2 linked regions of the Sus scrofa genome follow. The protein of the gene in region 1 purifies or fractionates together with the protein of each later gene. This does not show direct contact. Links are inferred from orthologs where the notes say so. Each region holds a gene or a part of one and is shown in the gene's direction. Other genes may lie near its edges.

What was found.
Region 2: the proteins of RCC1L (region 1) and TRUB2 purify together in Homo sapiens (affinity purification with mass spectrometry; 3 studies listed by BioGRID and IntAct, with this or other methods). This does not show direct contact. The link is inferred for Sus scrofa from reciprocal best matches to the Homo sapiens genes RCC1L and TRUB2.

Annotation. Positions count from the first base shown.
Region 1 is NC_010445.4:11,914,068-11,917,813, forward strand, and holds the start of RCC1L (RCC1-like G exchanging factor-like protein), read left to right. Parts: upstream 1-1,472; 5' UTR 1,473-1,532; coding exon 1,533-1,874; intron 1,875-3,746. UniProt on the Homo sapiens protein: Guanine nucleotide exchange factor (GEF) for mitochondrial dynamin-related GTPase OPA1. Activates OPA1, by exchanging bound GDP for free GTP, and drives OPA1 and MFN1-dependent mitochondrial fusion. Plays an essential role in mitochondrial ribosome biogenesis.
Region 2 is NC_010443.5:268,755,197-268,758,942, reverse strand, and holds the start of TRUB2 (probable tRNA pseudouridine synthase 2), read left to right. Parts: upstream 1-1,171; 5' UTR 1,172-1,506; coding exon 1,507-1,635; intron 1,636-1,692; coding exon of another isoform or gene 1,693-1,824; intron 1,825-1,900; coding exon of another isoform or gene 1,901-1,970; exon of another isoform or gene 1,971-2,281; coding exon 2,282-2,537; intron 2,538-2,607; exon of another isoform or gene 2,608-2,714; coding exon of another isoform or gene 2,715-2,718; intron 2,719-2,911; coding exon 2,912-3,043; intron 3,044-3,746. Other genes in the region: ubiquinone biosynthesis protein COQ4 homolog, mitochondrial, read right to left, coding at 267-363, 1,693-1,824, 1,901-1,970. UniProt on the Homo sapiens protein: Minor enzyme contributing to the isomerization of uridine to pseudouridine (pseudouridylation) of specific mitochondrial mRNAs (mt-mRNAs) such as COXI and COXIII mt-mRNAs.

The DNA of each region.
Region 1 (3,746 bases):
ATTCAAACATTGCTTCTATTTTTTCCTTTTCCTTTTTTTTTTTTTTTGTCTTTTTGCTATTTCTTGGGCCGCTCCTGCAGCATATGGAGGTTCCCAGGCTAGGGGTCGAATCGGAGCTGCAGCCACCGGCCTACGCCAGAGCCACAGCAACTCGGGATCCGAGCCGAGTCTGCAACCTACACCACAGCTCACGGCAACGCCGGATCGTTAACCCACTGAGCAAGGCCAGGGATTGAACCTGCAATCTCATGGTTCCTAGTCGGATTCGTTAACCACTGCGCCACGACGGAAACTCCTCCTTTTTCTTTTTTAAGCTGCACCTGCAGCATAGGGAAGTTCCCAGGCTAGAGGTCGAATTGGAGCTGTAGCCACTGGCCTACACCACAGCCACAGCAACACCAGATCCAAGACACGTCTGTGACCTACACCGCAGCTGACGACAATGCTGGATCCTTTAACCCCACTAATCGAGGCCAGGGACAGCATCCGCATCCTCATGGACACTAGTCGGGTTCTTAACCCACTGAGCCACAATGGGAACTCCACAGCTCATTTATTTTTAAACTTCATTTCTTTTTTTTTAACCTCCTCATTTTAGAGATGAGATCCAGAGAAGGGAGACAACCTCCTAACATCAGGGAGCAGGTCAGTAGCAGAGCCAGCACAGGAACCCAGGTGCTCAGACTCCCAAATCGCTCATGAGGGCGTCCTCCGTTGCATGCTAAACTCTAGTACTAAACCGGTGAGGACAATCTGCCGTTATGAAACCTTGAAGAAGGTGCTCCAGCTGGATCCTTGAAGGTGAGTAGGAATTTGCTAGGCATCTGCGGTGAGAGGAGGGCAGTGGGGAGGGCATTCGAGGCACTGTGTGCAACGTGAGGAAACCTGAAAAATCCCTGGGGTTTAGAAATTACAAGCAGAGCCCCCTGAGTTGGTCCGAAGGTTGTGGGTTATTGTTAAGCTGTTTAACAGGCAGAGCCACCTGACTTAAGGGGAGTGACGGGCTGAGGGGCAGAGGTGATGCTGTGGAAAACAGCAGGGATTGCAGCACTGACCCAGCGGCGGGAGAGCGGGAACAGAGGCAACACGGCCAGGTAAGAAATGACGAGGGACCGTGGGTAGGGGGCGAGCACTACGCTGGAGTCGTACAGAGTAGGCAACCCCTTAAATTTTACTCCTGCCGACTGCCAAAAAAGCAAAATGAAAGTGCCCACCAGAGCCAGCAGCGTGCTCCGCAAACGTGCGCTGTGCGGCAAGGAGAGTGAGTTCAGGCCGGCTGCGGGCTGCTGCAGCACCGCGAAAAGTTGCAAACTAAGTGGGCAGGGCCGGGAAGGGTTCCCCAGGTCGACTCACTCAGGATCGGGGACTAACAGGCTCCGCCCAGCCCTCTCGCCTCCTTGAGCCATTGGCTACCCTCAGCGTCTTTGCCTTCACCCATTCGTAAACGTGACCCTGGGTTCTTCCGCCGGGGCTTGGGGTCAAGGGTCACCAATATGGCAGCGCCCAGGAGCGGCTGAAACGTGAAGCGGAGGATGGCGCTGGTGGCGCTGGCGGCGAGGGCTCGGCTGGGGAACTGGCTGAGCGGGCGGGGGCTGGGGCTGGGGCTGCGGCTGGGGCGCGGGCACTGGACGGCGGCCGGGCGCTCTCGGAGTCGGCGCGAGGCGGCCGAGGCCGAGGCGGAGGCGCCGGTGTTCCAGTACGTGGGCGAGCGTGCGGCCCGCGCCGACCGCATCTTCGTGTGGGGCTTCAGCTTCTCGGGGGCGCTGGGCGTGCCCACCTTCGTGCTGCCCAGCTCTGGGCCCCATCCTCACGCCGGCTTGCGGCCGCGCCGCAGGATCCAGTGTGTACCTTACCGCCTGGAGCTGGACCAAAAGGTGCGCTCTGCAGCTCCCTCCCTTCCTCCGTTTCCTCCTCGGGTCTCCGCCGCCGTCTCTCGAGGCACTTGGCGACGGGTGGACGGACTTCGGGGAGAAAGATCCTCGACCGGGCTGCGGGCGGGGGGAGGCCCTAGGGCGCTGCCAAGTTGAGGGAGTGGCGAAATGTCCTAGGTGTTTTGTCTCTCATTTGCGCATCACCCCAGGAGTCGGGTTTGTGGCACAGTTATGGGCGAGGAAAGGGAGGCTCAGAGAGGTTGAGAGGAAGGTCCGTGGCCCCGCAGCTGGTTGAAGTTTGTATACTAGGATTCGCCCTCGGGCCAGGCTCCAGCAGAAGTTCTGATTTTAGGAAAGACGATTTTATGAGGTCGGAGAAAACGTGGCTGGCTGGAGTCGATGAACTACTTGGAAAGGAAACTAGAGCGCTTACAGGAATGAGGGGAAGGATGAAGGCCCCTGAGTTTACTCAGTTTTGAAAAGGTGATGCAAAGAATCGTTGCGGGACGGGAGTTTGTCTCGGCAGCCAGCACCCATTAGTGCAAAAATGGATGCTTAGGATAGATTCTTGCCTCGGGTGGTTGTGGACATCTTGATGGGTGGTGAAAAAGAAGCAAATTTGATCGGTTTGGCTTCTGACTTCTCTTTCAAGGATATCCAGTGATTTTTTAATGAAAAGGGTAGATCGAGAAAAACAGGGAATTTAAGCTCCAGATGATTGAAAAGTTGTTTTGATTTCTTCATTTTGAGTTGTAAGAGTTATTTATGTATTCTGGATTAGGTACCTTGTCATATATATATATATATATATTATATATATATATATATATAAGGTGGAAATATTTTCTGCCAATCTATGGATTTTCTTTTTCATTTCTTAATACTGCCCTTGGGAGAGCATAAGCTTTTAATTTTAATGAAATTCAGTTAAGTTTTTCTACTGTGAATCGTATATTTGGTATATCTGAGAAATCTTTGCCTAATCTAAGATTACAAAGATAATTTTCCTAAGGTATTGTCTAGGAACGTCATAGTTTTCGTTCTTATATTTAGGTTAACAAGCTAGTCATTCGAGTTGACTTTTGGGTGCTGTGGAAGTGAGAGTAGAATGTGGCTAGTATTATCATTAGTTGAAATTATTTCCTTACTGAATTGTCTTGGCACCTTTGTGAAAATCAGTATGACTGTAAATGTAAGGATTTATTCTGGAACTCTCAATTCTGATCCATTGATCTATATGTTTCTCATTATGCTAAAAGTACACTCTTGATTACTGTAGCTTTATAACTAGTTTTGAAATTGCGAAAGGTAAATTTTGGCTCTTCTGGGTGTTTTGCTTTTCCATATAAATTTTAGGACTAGCTTGTTAATTTCTGCGACAGTACCTACTGAGATTTTGATAGCGATTACATTGAATCTATACGTTGATTTGGACACAAATGCCATCTAAGCAATTTTGTGTCTTCTAATCTATGAACATGTAATGTCTCCCCATTTAATTAGGTTTTTAAGGAGTTCCTGTTGTGGCTTAGTGGTTAACAAATCTGACTAGGAACCATGAGGTTGCAGGTTCCATCCCTGGCCTTGCTCAGTGGGTTGAAAATCTGGCGTTGCTGTGAGCTGTGAGCTGTGGTATAGCTCGCAGATGTGGCTTGGATCCGTGGCTGTGGCTGTGGTGTAGGCCGGCGGCTACAGCTCCGACTAGACCCCTAGCCTGGGAACCTCTATATGCCGTGGGTTTGGCCCTAGAAAAGACAAAAAAAAAAAAAAGACAATTAGGTCTTTAATTTCTCTCAACTATGTTTTTTGTAGTTTACGGTGTACAGATCTTACACATCTGTTAAATTTATTCCTAAGCATTTTATTCTTTTTGGT
Region 2 (3,746 bases), on another chromosome or scaffold:
GGGGATGGCGGGCAGTATGTGTTAACAGACCTCCGTGAAGGCACAAGAGCCCTGTTGCTGGAACTAGGCTGAGGCCATCGTATTGCATCACCCAAGGGTCAACACAGTGTCTATGTGAGTGGTGCCTATGGATTCGGGCAGTGCCCACGGCCACCACTCACGGCCAGGGTATCAAGAAGAGCTCCCCAGAGGAACACAATGCAAGTCCAGACAGACGGGAAGCGCCAAAGAATGCCCTCAATCCCCCAGGCAGAGCTGGGACCTACTGCAGGATCTGGGCACCCTCTGGATCCCTCTTCATCTGGTCCCTGAGGAACTTCAGGGTTCGGCGTCCTGTGGTCTCTCCTAGAACTGCAACCATGTCTGAAAGGAAAGAAATGGGGACACGTGGAGGATGTGATCTTCGGTGGATCGCCTGACCTGGTCTGAGCCTCAATTTCCTACATGAGCAAACAGAATATCTACCTCTAAGTTATAAAGATTCAAGTTAAACATGTAGTGAAGCGCTGGGCACACAGTAAAAGCTCAATATAGTTATGACTGTTATTCATCTGATGGGGGAGGTGGCTCTGGTGAGCACAGTGCTCTGACAAATTTATGAATCACTTTCACATCCATCATTACAACAGAATATCATGTCTCCACGGACAGGGGCCGACTTTGGTATCACAGAGTGCTAGGTTCGACCCCAGCTACAATCACTGTCTAGAGGACCTTGTGCAAACTGCTTCACATTTTTGACCCTCAGTGTCCTAACTTGGAAGTGCAGATAACATCTTTCTTATAGGGTCAATATGAAAAATCAAGAACATCACGTATATAAAACACTGAGCAATGAGCAACCAAAATAAGGGCTTAATGAGCAATTACCATTTTTTTTTTTTTTTTTTTTTTTTTTTTAGGGCCATACCCACAGCATATGGAGGGTCCCAGGCTAGGGGCTGAATTGGAGCCACAGCTGCTGGCCTACACCACAGCTCACAGCAATGCGGGATCCTTAACCCACTGAGCAAGGTCAGGGATCGAACCTGCGTCCTCATGGATCCTAGTCAGATTCGTTACCGCCGTTAACCGCTGAGACACAACGGGAACTCCCAGCATTATTGTTTTTACTAGCAGGAGTAACAGAATTTTCCAGACTTAGAAATCCTGGAGGGGATGAGAAAGGCAGTGTAGGATCCAAGAATGTTCTAGTCAAATGTCTAGCAAGCACTTACGGAGCATTTATTATGTCCCGTGCCCTATCCAAAATGCTACCACTCCAGTGGAGCAGGGTAGTTATGGTTCCCGACCTCATAAAGTTTAATTTCTAAAGGGACGTTATACTTTTACGGGCATAAATCATCTAGCCCAGAGATCCTCAGTGTGGCTGGATGACAGAATCTCCCGGGAAGCAGTTTAAAAAGGCAGAGGCTCAGATTCCACGCCCCTTCCTGCCTCCCTTCCCCACTCCCACAAGATTCGAATTGAGTAAGTTTTAGGGTGGGATCCAGGCATCCGCATTTTATGAATACTGCAAGTGACTGTGAGGTGCAGCTTGGTCTGGGTACCCTGGCCTTGTCTTGTTTCCAGTTACCCAAAGGAAACGGAGGTTTTGACAGTGGCAGGGACCTCCCCGGGACTTCCAAGGCAAGGGTGAGCCTCCCCCCTCCCCCGCCCTCCCAAGAGAACGCCAGGCGCGGGCAGCCTTACCGTGGCGATAAGGGTCGTAGAGGGCCATTACGGCAGAGCCCGCGGCCAACAGCGCCTTCTGCAGCAGGGAAGTGGGGATGTGTTCGGGGTAGAGGAGGCCGGTGCCATGGCTCGTGGCACGAAGGGGCACATCTGCGAGGCAAGAAAAAGGCCGCGCGGTCAAAAGAGCCGGGGGACGCCAGCACGCCGACCAGCCCCCGCCACTTGCCTGCAGCCGGCTGCCCGCGGCCTTGGAAGGCGCGGAGGGGGCGCAGGGCCCCGCGCAGCAGCGTCGCCATGGCAGCGGGTACAGTCGGACGTCCGCGGGAGGATGGGAAGGGCAAGGCCAATGCCCCAGACTTCCCCGACGACGGCGCGCCGGAGAAGTCAAAAGGGCTCGATTCCTACGGCGCGGAGTAGGGTTTTTTTTTGCGGGAGGGGGGAAAGAGCACGGACAGGAAAGGTCTCTATCTCTAAGTATGAAGAAACCCAGGCAATCTAATTCCAAGGATATAAAATTCTCCCCATTTCACCTTGCCCCCCAAAGTGTCTCTAAGGAAGCCCGCCTGGCTTTGGGGTTCAGTGTCGGACCGTACTTTGTTCACCGCAGCACGTTTTCCCCGAGGACAGAAAGACGAGAACCTCTTCCGGCTGCGAAACATGGCAGCGTCCTCTGGAAGGACTCTATTTGGGGAGGGACCATATGGCATTTCCGCCGGGTGCCGCTGTCCTGCGAGCCCCAGACGCGGGCTCCGGGATGGGGTCAGCCGGCCTGGCGCGGCTGCATGGGCTCTTTGCCGCCTACAAGCCCCCGGGGCTAAAATGGAAGCATCTACGGGATACGGTGGAGCTGCAGCTTTTGAAAGGTGAGTGCATCGAGCCAGTCTTAACGATCCCCTTCCCATTTCCCTCGGAGTCTATTTCCGCTTCTGATCCTTGCGGGTAAAGTCAGTCATGTGACCTCGTCGCCTGGGCGGCTGCCTTTTCCTGATCGTCTGTCGTATGCACTCTGTTTGTTGTTCCTCTCTTTCCCCGGTGTTCAGATGGGTAAACAGACTCTATTTTTAGTTGTCATAAGTAGTAGAGTCAATATTTGACTCCAATTCTTGTTCCTAATTGCTACTGATCTCTGCACCCGTGGACTTGGAACTGTCTTATGCATCCCCGTGTTTTCCTGTCCCGCCCACCCCTGGGTGTCCACACGGAATTGATGAGATGCTATTTACATGTGTGTGCTCAGGTCTCAATGCTGGGAAGCCTCCTGCTCCTGAACAGCGTGTTCGCTTCCTGCTGGGTCCGGTGGAAGGCAGTGAAGAGAAGGAGCTGACCCTCACAGCCACCACTGTGCCCTCCCTCATCAACCATCCTCTGGGTAAAGCACATTTAGGAAGGGGCCTGGGTGTCACTTCCCAGGAAATCCCTGCTCAGAATCAGTGTCCTAGCCAGTGCTCAGACTCTTACTGTCCCGAACCAGTGTAGGGTGGCAGTGGGGATGAAGTATTTGACCAGAGATTGGCAAAGTTTCCTAAAAAGGGCCAGATAGTCAATATTTTAGGCTTTGCAGGTTCACCTCTGCCATTGTAGTGCAGAAGTAGCTATAGATAGTATGTAAAGCAGCGAGCCTGAGTGTATTCCAAATAAAGCTTTACTTATGGACACAGACATTTTCTTTTTAATTAAATTTTTTTTTTTCCTGCTTTTTAGAGCCACACCTGCAGCATCTGGAAGCTCCCAGACTAGGGGGTGAATTGGAGCTTCAGCTGCCCGCCTATGCCATAGCCCCAGCAATGCCAGATCTGAGCTGTGTCTGTGACCTACATCACAGCTTACAGCAACTCCGGATCCCTTAATCCACTGAGCAGAGTCAGGGATTGAACCCACATCCACATGGATGCTAGTCAGTTTTGTCAGCATTGAGCCACAGGGGGACTCCCTTCTTGGTTTTTTGTTTGTTTGTTTGTTTGTTTTGAATCATTGAAAAATGTAAAAACCGGTTTAAATGGTAGGCCGTGAAAACCCCAGGACTGGGGATGTGACCTGTGGACTGTAGCTTGCTGGCCCCTTTGTTATCCTGG